Linked DNA regions of Neurospora crassa OR74A. The protein of the gene in region 1 purifies or fractionates together with the protein of each later gene. This does not show direct contact. Links are inferred from orthologs where the notes say so. Each region holds a gene or a part of one and is shown in the gene's direction. Other genes may lie near its edges.

Region 1 (4,097 bases):
CATCCCTCCTGATCTCACACACAACCCTATGCCACTCCTTCTCACTCCCGTTCGGGCCATAAACCACATCCCGAGCCATGACCTGACTACTAGTATTGAACGTGTTAAAGCTAATCTTGCCGCTCCCCTTCCACTCCGCCATATCAATCTCGGGCGGCCACCCATTGACGGCCGTCAACCAAAACGCAGGCCAGGTCCCCTTCGCAACGGGGGCGCGGAACTCGGCTGAGAAATCGTAGCCTGACACTGCACCAGCACCAGAAGAAGAAGAAGTAATGGTGAAGTGCTGCTTGGCGTGGATGGCGCCGGATAGGTACTTGATGGGGATCTGTTTGCCGCCGTGGGTAGCGGGTTTTTGGCCGGTGACGCGGTGGGCGGTTAGAGTGAGGGTGCTTGAGGTGCCGTCAGCAGAGGGGGCTATGGAGACTTGGGAAGGGGACATGCGCGCGGCGCCATTGTGGTCGGTGCCCCAGGGGTAATTGAAGGACCAGTAGGTGTTGAAGGTGGTGGTGGAGTTGAAGGATGTGGAAGGGATTAGGAGGGTCTTGGATGAGGCGAGGGTAGATGGGAAGAGGCAGAGGATGGTGATGGTTTGGAGGAGAAGGGGAAGGGGTTGTTGGAAGGACCTCCTCATGTTGGCGGGTTCCTTGATGAAAGTTGGTGTTTCTGGAGGGTTGATCGAGTTGGTAAGGACTGATTCAGTTCGGCTGAATTCTGTTGCCATTACTCCTTCTTTTAACTTGACAACCAGGACTTCCTTCGACACTCACAATACTGTTGAGGGTGGTACTATATAAACGGATCCATTATAGGATGGAACATAACACGGATGATTTATACCTATATTCCACCATTCATATATATTACCGTGATCAGCGTTGCAGCTATCTCGGCCTCAGACTAAACTCACAACCATGCGAGGGTATGCGTCGGATACATATGATCAGCGTTGCAGCTATCTCGGCCTCAGACTAAACTCACAACCATGCGAGGGTATGCGTCGGATACATACAAGTAAATGGGGAATATTTGGGAGAAAGCGTACTATACAGGTGATAGTTAATGAACTGTGTATACCTTCTCGTCACATGTATTCAACCCCCTTTCTTGCTTTGACAGCGAACCCTAACCCTGCCGATTGAAGCCGCTCACCTACCTACCCTGAACTTCCACCCCTCCCGCTCGAGCCCTGACGTACTGGACCACTCCCCTGTAAACTCCCCGCGGTGGCGCTGAACTATAAGCAGTGCAGTGGCTCCATCGGGCAGGCAGAAAAAGTTGCCCCGATTCGCGACGTCAACTTTCACTCTTGAAAACCAAAAAAAGTTCCCGCGACGCCGATTGACTCCTCCACGCGCCGGGTGACACAACTCTTTTTTCTACATTTCCCACTCGACGAGACCCTCTCGACATGCCCAGGTCAGAGGAAATGACTGCATAAAAAAAACACTTATTCGTCCATGCATTACAAGAAGCTAGCAGTCGCTGCCGCATCAAAGAGGATAAGAACCGTGCTGCCGACTCGAATCTCTACCACCACATCCTCGTTCCTATCGCTTAGACGTTGTCTTTCCACAAGAGATTTTACACGATCTCCAGAATCGTCGGTAGATCCCTCGGTGTTCACTAGCTCAAGAATACGTCGGGTGCCAGACTCTGTCTCGAAACCTAGAACCACTCCGTTCCGGAATCTTCGCCCAGCGAAGCCCACTCCTCGCCTCGCCGTCAAGCCTCCGAGCAAAGATCGGCCTCCCAAGTCCAAGATCCCAGACTCGGTCTCGAAGACAGTCGCTAGAGAACTCCTTCGCAACAGATACCTCTTCGCCGAATACAGTCTCTTCTCGCCGCAACGGGCCTTTCAAAAGTGGAAGAATCACGGCCTTCTGAAGCACACCAAGATCCCCGAGGACTTCTTTAGCGGCCGCATCCCTATCAAGCTCTACCCTTATCAGGTTGACGGACCTCGTTTTATCCTTGCTTCTCCTGCTCCAGAACAGAAGGAAGCTCCTCCACTACCTGCAAAACCCGAGTTCGGCGCCATGCGCAGCCACGTCCAGATCGTCGCCGCCCCGACGGCCGACACCCCAGGCGCATGCCTCCTCGTCCACTATGACAACCGCCGTTACCTTTTCGGCCACCTCTCCGAAGGCACGCAGCGCCTCTTCACCGAAAACAAAATTCCCGCCGCAAAGCTGTCGCACATCTTCCTCTCTGGCAAGACGGACTGGGCAACGACAGGCGGCCTACTGGGCATGATTTTGACCGTTGCCGATGTCATCATAAGCGCAAAGACTGCAGTTGAGGAAGAGAACAAGCTGCGTCGTCAGAAGAACAAGCCAGAAATTACCCATGGCGGTCCTCAGCGTATCGAGATTCACGGCTCCAAGAACCTTGAGCACATGCTGGCTGCTGCCAGACGATTCGTGTTCCGCAAGGGCTTCCCACTCGATGCCCATGAGCTCCGCGCCGATCCCAGGGCCGCAAACCCCGAGAACAGCAAGCCTGACTACGAGGATGAAAACCTCAAGGTCTGGAAGATCCCTCTTGTTGCCACAGGCATGGAGAGCCGGTCGCGTAGCAGCAGTACCGGCTCGCAGAACCCGCGGAAGCGGAAACTGAACTCTTCGGAGGAGCCCGAGGTCATGGACACTCTGGTAGAGGGAGAGGACGGAGAGGTTGTGGAAGATGTGCCGGCGGGAGTGGAGGATGACGAGAAGACCCACCTTCTCATGCAGACGGTTATTAAGCACATGTTCGACTCAGACTGGAAGGCCGACACTCTTGTAGAACAGCCTCTACACAAGGTCAAGCTGCCGGCCAAGATCTTTGTCCGCGACGATGAAGGCAAGATCACAGTGTACAAGGGCCCATTGCCGGGGAGGGACGCGAACGTTCCTGATATCAGGGTGCTTGTGAGGGAGCCTTGGCCTGGTGCGCTTGTCCACCGGTTGCCACCCACGGACCCTTGCTTCGATTCCACATGCTACATCGTTAAGAATCATGCTCGTCGAGGCAAGTTCCAGCCTGCGAACGCTCTCAAATACGGGCTACCCAAGTGGACATTCAGCAAGCTGGCAAAGGGCGAGAGCGTGACGGCAGAGGATGGAACTGTTGTTACCCCCGATATGGTTTTGGACCCTCCTATTCCCGGCCACGGTTTTGCTCTAGTTGATGTCCGCTACGAGTATCTCCTCGATAGCCTCCTCAAGAGGCCCGAGTGGGAGAACAAGGAGATCATGGAGCATATCGATGCCTTCTACTGGATCCTTAGCCCAGAGGTCAAGGATGATTCCCGCCTGAAGGATTTCATGGCGAAGCACAGCTCCTTCAAACACGTTGTTCTCGGTGAGGGAATGAACCCCAACACCATCTCATTCGGGGGCGCGTCTGGGAAGGCTATCATGATGCATCGGATGGATCCCGACCGCTTCTCCATTCCCAACCACAACAACCAGGAAGAAGCCTTACCAGCGGGCTTGGCATCTGTTGCTCAGCTAGGCAAGCCCGGCGAAAGACTACTCCTCTCTCCTTCGGTCGAATTTCAGCGCCAGTTCGCCAACGCTGTCATGGACACCATCAAGCCGATCAAGGAGCTCACTTCCACCCACGCCAAAGCCTTCAACCTGGCGCTCGAAGCGCAAACGAAGGTATCCGACCCTGCTTTCGCCGCCCGCGTCGCCGAGTCCGAGCAAGACATTCCCAACCGGGACGCCGAAATCGTCACTCTCGGCACCGGGTCCGCCCTTCCCTCCAAGTACCGCAACGTCTCAGCCACGCTCATCCGCGTCCCCGGCTACGGCAGCTATCTGTTCGACTGCGGCGAGAACACCCTCGGCCAGCTCCGGCGCGTGTACGGCTACGCCGAAACCGACGCCATCCTCCGCGATCTGCGCGCCATCTACATCTCTCACTTGCACGCCGACCACCACCTCGGTGTTCCCTCCGTTCTCGCCCGCCGCGCCGCCGCCAACGCCGCTCTCCCCGCCGACGAGGCCCCCAAACCGCTCACTATCATCTCCACAACAAAGTACATCGGCTTCCTGCACGAGTACAAAGACGTCGAGCCTCTCGACTGGGCCAACATCAAATTCCTCACC
Region 2 (3,936 bases), on another chromosome or scaffold:
CCAAAACGAGAAGCTGTCGACTGTCGAGCTCTTCACCTCGCACGAGGGTCTCCTTCTCGAGTACGAGGAACCGCTCACCCGCCTGCTCAACCACCCTTCGGTCCGCTCCTACCCTCCCGACTCTACCACGCCCCCCAAGAAAGAATACTACAACACGTCGGCTCACTTCTTGTGGATCGGCGACCGCACGCGCCAAATCGACCACGCGCACGTCGAATACTTCCGCGGCATCGCCAACCCCATTGGTGTCAAGATTGGTCCCTCGACACCTACTTCGGACTTGCTGCCTATGCTGCGCACTCTAAACCCCAACCGCGAACCCGGCAAGGTTACGCTCATTACGCGCTACGGCGCCGACAAGGTGGCCTCTCTCCTGCCTGCGCACATCCGCACCGTCGAAAGCTCGGAGTACGCCCGCACCGTGGTCTGGCAGTGCGATCCCATGCACGGCAACACACAATCGGTTAGCGGCGGCATCAAGACGCGCAAGTTCAGCGACATCTTCTCGGAGCTTCAGCAGACACTACGCATCCACAAGGAAGAGAAGTCGTACCTGGGCGGCATGCATCTGGAATTGACGGGTGACGCGGTGACGGAGTGCTTGGGAGGCGGTGCAGGACTGGATGAGGATGACTTGAGTACTAACTATACGAGCTTCTGCGATCCGCGGTTGAACGAGAAGCAGGCGCTGGAGTTGGCCTTCTTGGTGGCGGATCATTATAGGCAGGAGAGGAAGGAGAAGGAGGCTGAAAGGAGAAAGTCCTCGGTGGTTTAGAGGGCTGCTTGCTTGAGGATGTGGAGGAGCTGGCAGATGAAGAAACTAGGTACTGAGGCTACTAGTGGAGGAAGTGCTACAACTATTGGGGCTGCTACAGCGAATGGGGCAGCAAATACAAAATAGGATGCGAATACCAATGAGGCTGCTACTACACCTAGTGCAGGTGGTGGTACTGGATGTGGCGGGACTGCTGCTTCGGAAACTCTTTTTTCATGACAGGCCAAGGTTGGAAGCGGCTGGCATGCCACGACGGGAGATGGCCCGTGGTCGCGATATAGATATTGTGTAGTAAAAGGGTGTATAGTTTTGTGGTGAAAATAGGGTTTCTCAAAATTCAAAAGTGCTATAGCGTCTTATTCATCTTCAAATTCATCTTCAAAAGTGTGGTGGTTTGTGAACGCAGCGTGTTTTGGAAACTCGAAGCCCAGGTAAAGTACAGGGTAGTCAAGGAGACGTATCGTGAGCACAGTGACGTACCTACAGTACACCGTCCGTCGTCGGGCTCCAGCAGCTTTGGTCGGTTGGTCACTGCACAGGGCATGTTTCAGGTCATGCAACAAGCTACTTACTGGCGAGAGAAGGGGGATGGATCATTTACCCCGCTGTCTTGTATCATTGGCTTCTTCATCCCAACCACCAACGAACTTGTCGACCATTTCTTCAATCTTACACTAGCACTCTGTCATTGGGCTGTATTGTATCCCGCGTCTCAGGTAGAGTGAGTAGTACTTAGGTGGTTTGCCCCTCTTCTGTGTACATACCAGAAGGGTTCCCCTCTTTTTGATCTTCCGTCCGATCAACTTGAAACATCCGACTCGAACTGACCAAGCTTTCCACTTTGCTTAGAGCCGGCTTCCAGCAGACTTATAGCTTATCTATCTTTACTTGCGTAGCGAGTTGGTCATTCTCGTTTTGTTTGGCCGACCTCGTTACCCCTCTTCCACTTCCGGTTCCAACTCTATTCCAATACCCTTCGACGTCCATCGCAAACCCCAACAACTCTCCCCGACCAACAACCCAAACAACCCATACCAACCGCAACGATGGTCGACCGTGGCCGTAAGCCCTCCGCCCTGGCCTCCACCCCCGGCCTCCCCCCGCAACCCCAAGTCGCCTTCTCGTCGGACAACTCTCGTGTGACCGCCACTCTTCCGACCGGCGAGAGCGTCTCGGTCCTGCTTTACGGCGCCACCGTCGTCAGCTGGAAGGACAAGAACGGCCATGAGAAGCTGTGGTTGAGCGAGGCGGCCAAGTTGGATGGAAGTAAGCCTGTGAGGGGCGGTATTCCCTTGGTTTTCCCGGTATGTTGTCCGCCGCCCTTGGTCATTTATTTCAAAGGAGGGAAGGAAGGAAGGAAAAAGGAAAGAGGACATTATGCTGACGAGAAACGGAAATAACAGGTCTTCGGAACAGCCCCCGACCATGCTCAGACCAAGGATCTCCCCCAGCACGGCTTCGCCCGCTCGTCGCGGTGGGAGTTCCTGGGCAAGTCCACTTCGGAATCGACGCCCACTCCCACCACCCCGGCCTTTGCTGCGACGGCCACCAGCGCTGCCGGAGCGGTGGCGGCTGCGGCGGCGGATTTATCTGTCAAGTTGGACTTTGGACTGAGCTCTTCGGGCTTGAGCGAGGACGCCAGGGCAAAGTGGCCGTATGCGTTCAATGCGATTTACAGCGTGACGCTGAACACGGATAGCCTGACGACCAACTTGGTCATTACCAATGACGATGAGAGGAGTTGGGAGTGTCAGATGTTGATGCATACCTATCTCAGAGTTAACGTATGTCCCCCTTTCTCTCCCCTCCTTCCTTCCTTCCTCCAACTAACGGACAAAAAAAAACAGGACATCACCTCCGTCTCCATCCACGGCCTCGAAAACGCCTCCTACGTCGACAAGACCACCTCCCCCATTTCCACCAGCACGCAAACCACCTCGGCGCTAACCATCTCCTCCGAGACCGACCGCGTCTACACCCCCGCCGGCGACGACCCCGCGTCCATCCCCATCACCGTTTTCGAAGGTGACCAACCCAAGTACACTGTTCTGCGGGACAACCTCGCCAACGTGGTGGTTTGGAACCCCTGGATTGAAAAGGCGCAAGGTATGGCGGACTTTGAGCCCAAGGACGGGTACAAGAACATGTTGTGCGTGGAACCGGGGGCGGTGGCTACGTGGCAGGTGTTGGAGCCGGGCGATGCGTTTGAGGGGGCGCAGACGATTGTTTTGGGTGGGAAGACACAGAATTGAACCCAGGATGCGTGGGTGCGGGTGCGGAGGGCAAAGTGGGTTAGAGAAGGGATGAAGGGGAGGTTATGACATCAAGGCAAGGGGATGGAAGTGGTAATTGGATTAAGGGAGGAAACGGAGGATGTACATGAATGATGATAAGTGATGACAGTGGATATGTGGCAGAAGGTGAGATAGTATTGTAGCTGTGGGGGCGGCCAGTTTTGCTGGATAGATAGACAGACAGACAGACGGCAATGACTATAGTAGCTGGACAAGAGCTCATGTATAGGAAGTGAAGGACGTGAAGAGTGATGGCAATGACTGAGAGAGGCTTACATCAATATAGCCACCATTTTCACTACACTGGCTTAACCTGCTCTTTATGTTCCTAATCAGTTATATAAAGAAATGCAGCGCTGACATGAACCTAAAAACTTCCGCTATGCTATGCTATGCTATGCTATGCTATGCTATGCTATGCTATAACCCAATATCCCAGACGCCCGGAACATCCCAATTCCTACAAATGCCACATGCCACGATGATCCTGTCTGTCTATTTGCTTATACAATATGACTGACTATCTTACAACTTTCCCTTCATCTTGCTCGCCCTTCTCAAATCGCCAAGCTGTCAAGCGTCCTTGTTCCGGGCTATGGTACTGGCTACCCAGCGAGGCAGTTACAACGTCCCTTCTCCCTCCCCCCTTTGCCTTGCTTAGTTTCCATCCATTACCCATAACCCCTCACCACCCCCCCCGTATCCATCCATCCATCCATCTTCTTCTTCTTCTTCTGTCTGCATTTAGGGATTTGCTTCTTTTCTTTTTTTTTTTTTTTTTTTTTTTTTTTTTTTTTCTCTCTTCATTTTGTTCCCCTGAATATGGCCGCCGCTCGGCAGTAGCTCAGCTACCCCTCGAACCTGAAC
Region 3 (3,451 bases), about 760 kb from region 1:
ACGGCGTGTATGGCATGGAGGGGAGACGGCGATCGATAACTGTACTTGTAGCAACGGGGAACGGTCAAATTGTTGCAGTAGAAATCCTGAATATAGTCCGATATTTGTCAAGAATGACCAAAAAGGGACCTTGGCGTCAACAGGAGTCAGACGGACGAGCGAGCCTCACAAGTTTGATCAAGATGGTGTTTGGATGGGAAAAGGCAGCGAGGCAAGATCAGACGCAGGCGAGAATCTAGGTAGCTAGCAGGTCCCGTCGTGGTTGAGAACCTCAACGGCCACACACACCCAGCCCAGACAATATAAGACACAGGACAATCAATTGGAGCCCGCTCTTGGGCGGCGGGTTTGGGGCCTGGGGTTAGATTGTTGATCCGGACCGGCGCTTGGAGATCGAAAACTTCGCTAGTGCAGTGTGCGCTAGTTTTGAGGACCTTGCTGGCACACGGTAGCCGGCCCTGAATGGGCTGTTGGCGTCGTGAAGGTAAGCAGGTGATCAGATTGGATGGAAGAATGGAAGTCAATGGGTCAGATAAGTATTGTTTCGGTCGGTAGGTACAATGGAGTGCAGGTGCCTGGGGCGTCGAGTGCGGAGAACGAAGACAATGCAAGATGCAGGGCGGATGTGGAGGGAACTTGCAGCCTTGGATGCCTGGGTGTCGACTGCAGTGCCGCAAGTTGATAGGGACTGCCGGTTTTGACGTCGAAGAAGTCGATTGATTTTGGACCGAGATATCCAGGCTGAGGTTGGGAAGGCGAACAATTGCAGCTCACGCAGGCTTTTTAACAAGGACCGTCCGTTCGTGATAAGAAGCAGCGAAAGCAACAAGGATCTTTATCATCGATGCCATCATAGGTCTCCTTCTTGGCCTTGTACCTACCATATGTAGACCACAGATCCCCGATTTGGACTCGGCCCACTTTGTTTCTCTTTTTTGTTTGGTAGCTGTCATGAGCAATTGTCCATCATGAGTCTCAACAATTCAGCTTTCTGATGGATATCTATAGATGCTGTTTGGTCTAGCATATTTCTCAGGTCTCATATGGGCTAGTCAGGGTTGCTCAGTCAAAGAGACCCTGAGTTTCCGAGATCGAAAAAGAGCACTGAAATACCTATACTGCATACCTCTACCAACCTGTCAATGCGTTGGAACAGTTGGCAAAATGCTCCATATCAGTTGCAACGAAGGGACTGGACAGCATTCTATCTCGAAGTCTCTGCCCACCAGCTGAATCAGATGAAGTGCATGTGTTTGTGATGTGGTACCGTCCAGTTGCCCGGTGGGGACCTCCCCACTCCGTCGCCGTGTCACCAACCGTTCGGGGGAGCCGGGGTCACTGGGTCCTCGGGTGTCCCTTGGAGATGCCGCGGGGGCGCGAGTCGCAAGTCGCGGGTCGCGGATCGTGGGAAATTTTATTAAGTTGAGCTTTGGAACTTTTCCACCATTGCAATTTCCCTTGTCCGAATCTCCTCAGCACCTCGCTCGCCTCAAAGCCGCGGAGAGTACCCCTTGCGCGCACCCCGACAGGAAGCAGGCCCATCCAGTCTATCCAGCAGGGCAACCCCACGACAGCTAGTCACCATGTCGAAAGCTACCATCGCCGTCATTGCCGCCGTGAGCGCCGCCGGTGGTGCCGCGGCCACCGCCGCTATGCTCTCCCTCAAGAGCGACAAGAAGGTCGACACCACCTCGCTGAACGCTCCCGTTCCCGCTGCCCCTTCCAAGCCTGGTCCGGTTCCCGCCAGCCAGGTCTTCAGCGCGCCCGCTCTCGCCGGCGGTTATAAACCTGTCGACCCCTCGGCCTTCTTCGAGTACGGCTTCCCGGGCCCCGTCGCTGATCTCGCGACCCGCCAAGGCTTTGTGTCCTCGTACGACCGCCGCACCAAGAACCCGCACTGGACGGTGGAGCACATCACGCCCGAGTCCCTGTCCATGTCCGAAGGCGACCGCAAGAAGTCTACTTTCGTCGAAGACGAGGCGATCCCCGAAAAGTTCCGCGGCAAGCTCAAGGACTACTTCCGCTCCGGCTTCGATCGCGGGCACCAGGTTCCCGCGGCCGACTGCAAGTGGTCGCAAGCCGCCATGGACGACACCTTTTACCTGTCCAACATGTGCCCGCAGGTGGGCGAGGGTTTCAACCGCGACTACTGGGCGCACTTTGAGGATTTCTGCCGTCGCCTGACGAAGCAGTACCCTTCCGTCCGCATCGTCACCGGACCTCTGTACCTGCCCAAGCGCGACCCCAGCGACAACAAGTGGTACGTCAAGTACGAGATGATCGGGCAGCCCCCTAACGTGGCGGTGCCGACGCACTTTTACAAGGTCATCTTTGCCGAGGACGGCAAGAAGGGAGGAAACGTTGCGCTAGGAGCTTTCGTGTTGCCCAACGCCAAGATCCCCAACGATAAGCCGCTGCAGGACTTTGAGGTGCCCCTGGAGGCGGTCGAGAGGGCGAGCGGTCTCGAGTTTGCGAGCAAGCTGCCGGTACAGAGGAGGAAGAGGTTGTGTGCGGAGGCGAACTGCTCCCTTATTGTCAAGGACTATGCCGAGAGGCAGAAGTCGTTTGGTAAGAAGCAGTAGGGGGATGACAAAGGTATTGTGGGGAGGGGGGGAGAATAGAGAGAGAAAGAGAGAGAGAGAAAAATGATGGTTGTATCGAGGACGGTATCACCCAAGATGACCTCTTGTGTACACCTCGATTTCTTGCCGTGACGAAGGTTGGGGATAAGGTCGATAAATGGGAGTCTAGCGGGGAAGGCCGCTGTGAGGCTTGTACTTGCATACAGGCGGGTTGTGCATAGCATCATACATGAGCATAGTTTAGCGTTTTATGATTATACCCCCATTGGAAAGGGAACACTGTCCGAAGTCGAACTTGACAGGGTTCAGTTAAAGGTGTTGGTCGGTCAACTGCATATGGACATCAGGCATACGTGCGCTTCTACTCCTTTAGCCCTGCGGTGTGCCTTCCAAATCAGAGCTCATTTTCGCGAGCTGATATATGACGGCAAGCCCATTCGCCAGGCAAGCACTTATCGACACCAAGGCATCCTTGATCACAGCCCGTACAGTGAACCAAGCATGATATCAGTGCATAACGTAGGGAAGAGGTTTAAAGCTCCACAGCCAACCTTAGTAGCAGATTAGGGGGTAGCAACCATGGTGATATATTCAATGCCCACCAGGCAACTCAAAGTCGTCTGTCTATCTGATCAAGGTTCCTCACTCAAGCACCGGCGAGGTACCTATCTTTCCCGACAACATCAAGCTAGCCAAACAGGAAGTTCGAAGTTAAACCCACACACAGTCGCGAAACGATCGTAATCCCTTTCTCTCTTTCTCTCTTTCCTTTGTTCATCGTTCCCGCCTTCCAAATGTTGTTCATCTGATCTTGTCTCGGTTGGGTATACGTTCACACCGCTCTGATCAACGAATCCATCCATTCCCAA

The links. The genes of interacting proteins can lie anywhere in the genome.
Region 2: the proteins of NCU00232 (region 1) and NCU02786 purify together in Saccharomyces cerevisiae (affinity purification with mass spectrometry; 3 studies listed by BioGRID, with this or other methods). This does not show direct contact. The link is inferred for Neurospora crassa OR74A from reciprocal best matches to the Saccharomyces cerevisiae genes TRZ1 and YMR099C.
Region 3: the proteins of NCU00232 (region 1) and NCU00030 purify together in Saccharomyces cerevisiae (affinity purification with mass spectrometry; 6 studies listed by BioGRID, with this or other methods). This does not show direct contact. The link is inferred for Neurospora crassa OR74A from reciprocal best matches to the Saccharomyces cerevisiae genes TRZ1 and NUC1.

What each region holds. Positions count from the first base shown.
Region 1 is NC_026503.1:3,102,041-3,106,137, reverse strand, and holds the start of NCU00232 (hypothetical protein), read left to right. Parts: upstream 1-1,297; 5' UTR 1,298-1,460; coding exon 1,461-4,097. Other genes in the region: NCU00233 (glycoside hydrolase), read right to left, coding at 1-724. UniProt on the Saccharomyces cerevisiae protein: Zinc phosphodiesterase, which displays some tRNA 3'-processing endonuclease activity. Probably involved in tRNA maturation, by removing a 3'-trailer from precursor tRNA.
Region 2 is NC_026501.1:9,199,311-9,203,246, reverse strand, and holds NCU02786 (hypothetical protein), read left to right. Parts: upstream 1-1,348; 5' UTR 1,349-1,821; coding exon 1,822-2,079; intron 2,080-2,178; coding exon 2,179-2,559; intron 2,560-2,622; coding exon 2,623-3,027; 3' UTR 3,028-3,436; downstream 3,437-3,936. Other genes in the region: aro-8 (phospho-2-dehydro-3-deoxyheptonate aldolase), read left to right, coding at 1-775; NCU02787 (hypothetical protein), read right to left, coding at 3,914-3,936. UniProt on the Saccharomyces cerevisiae protein: Catalyzes the interconversion between the alpha and beta anomers from at least three hexose 6-phosphate sugars (Glc6P, Gal6P, and Man6P).
Region 3 is NC_026503.1:2,346,232-2,349,682, forward strand, and holds NCU00030 (mitochondrial nuclease), read left to right. Parts: upstream 1-1,228; 5' UTR 1,229-1,583; coding exon 1,584-2,582; 3' UTR 2,583-2,951; downstream 2,952-3,451. UniProt on the Saccharomyces cerevisiae protein: This enzyme has both RNase and DNase activity.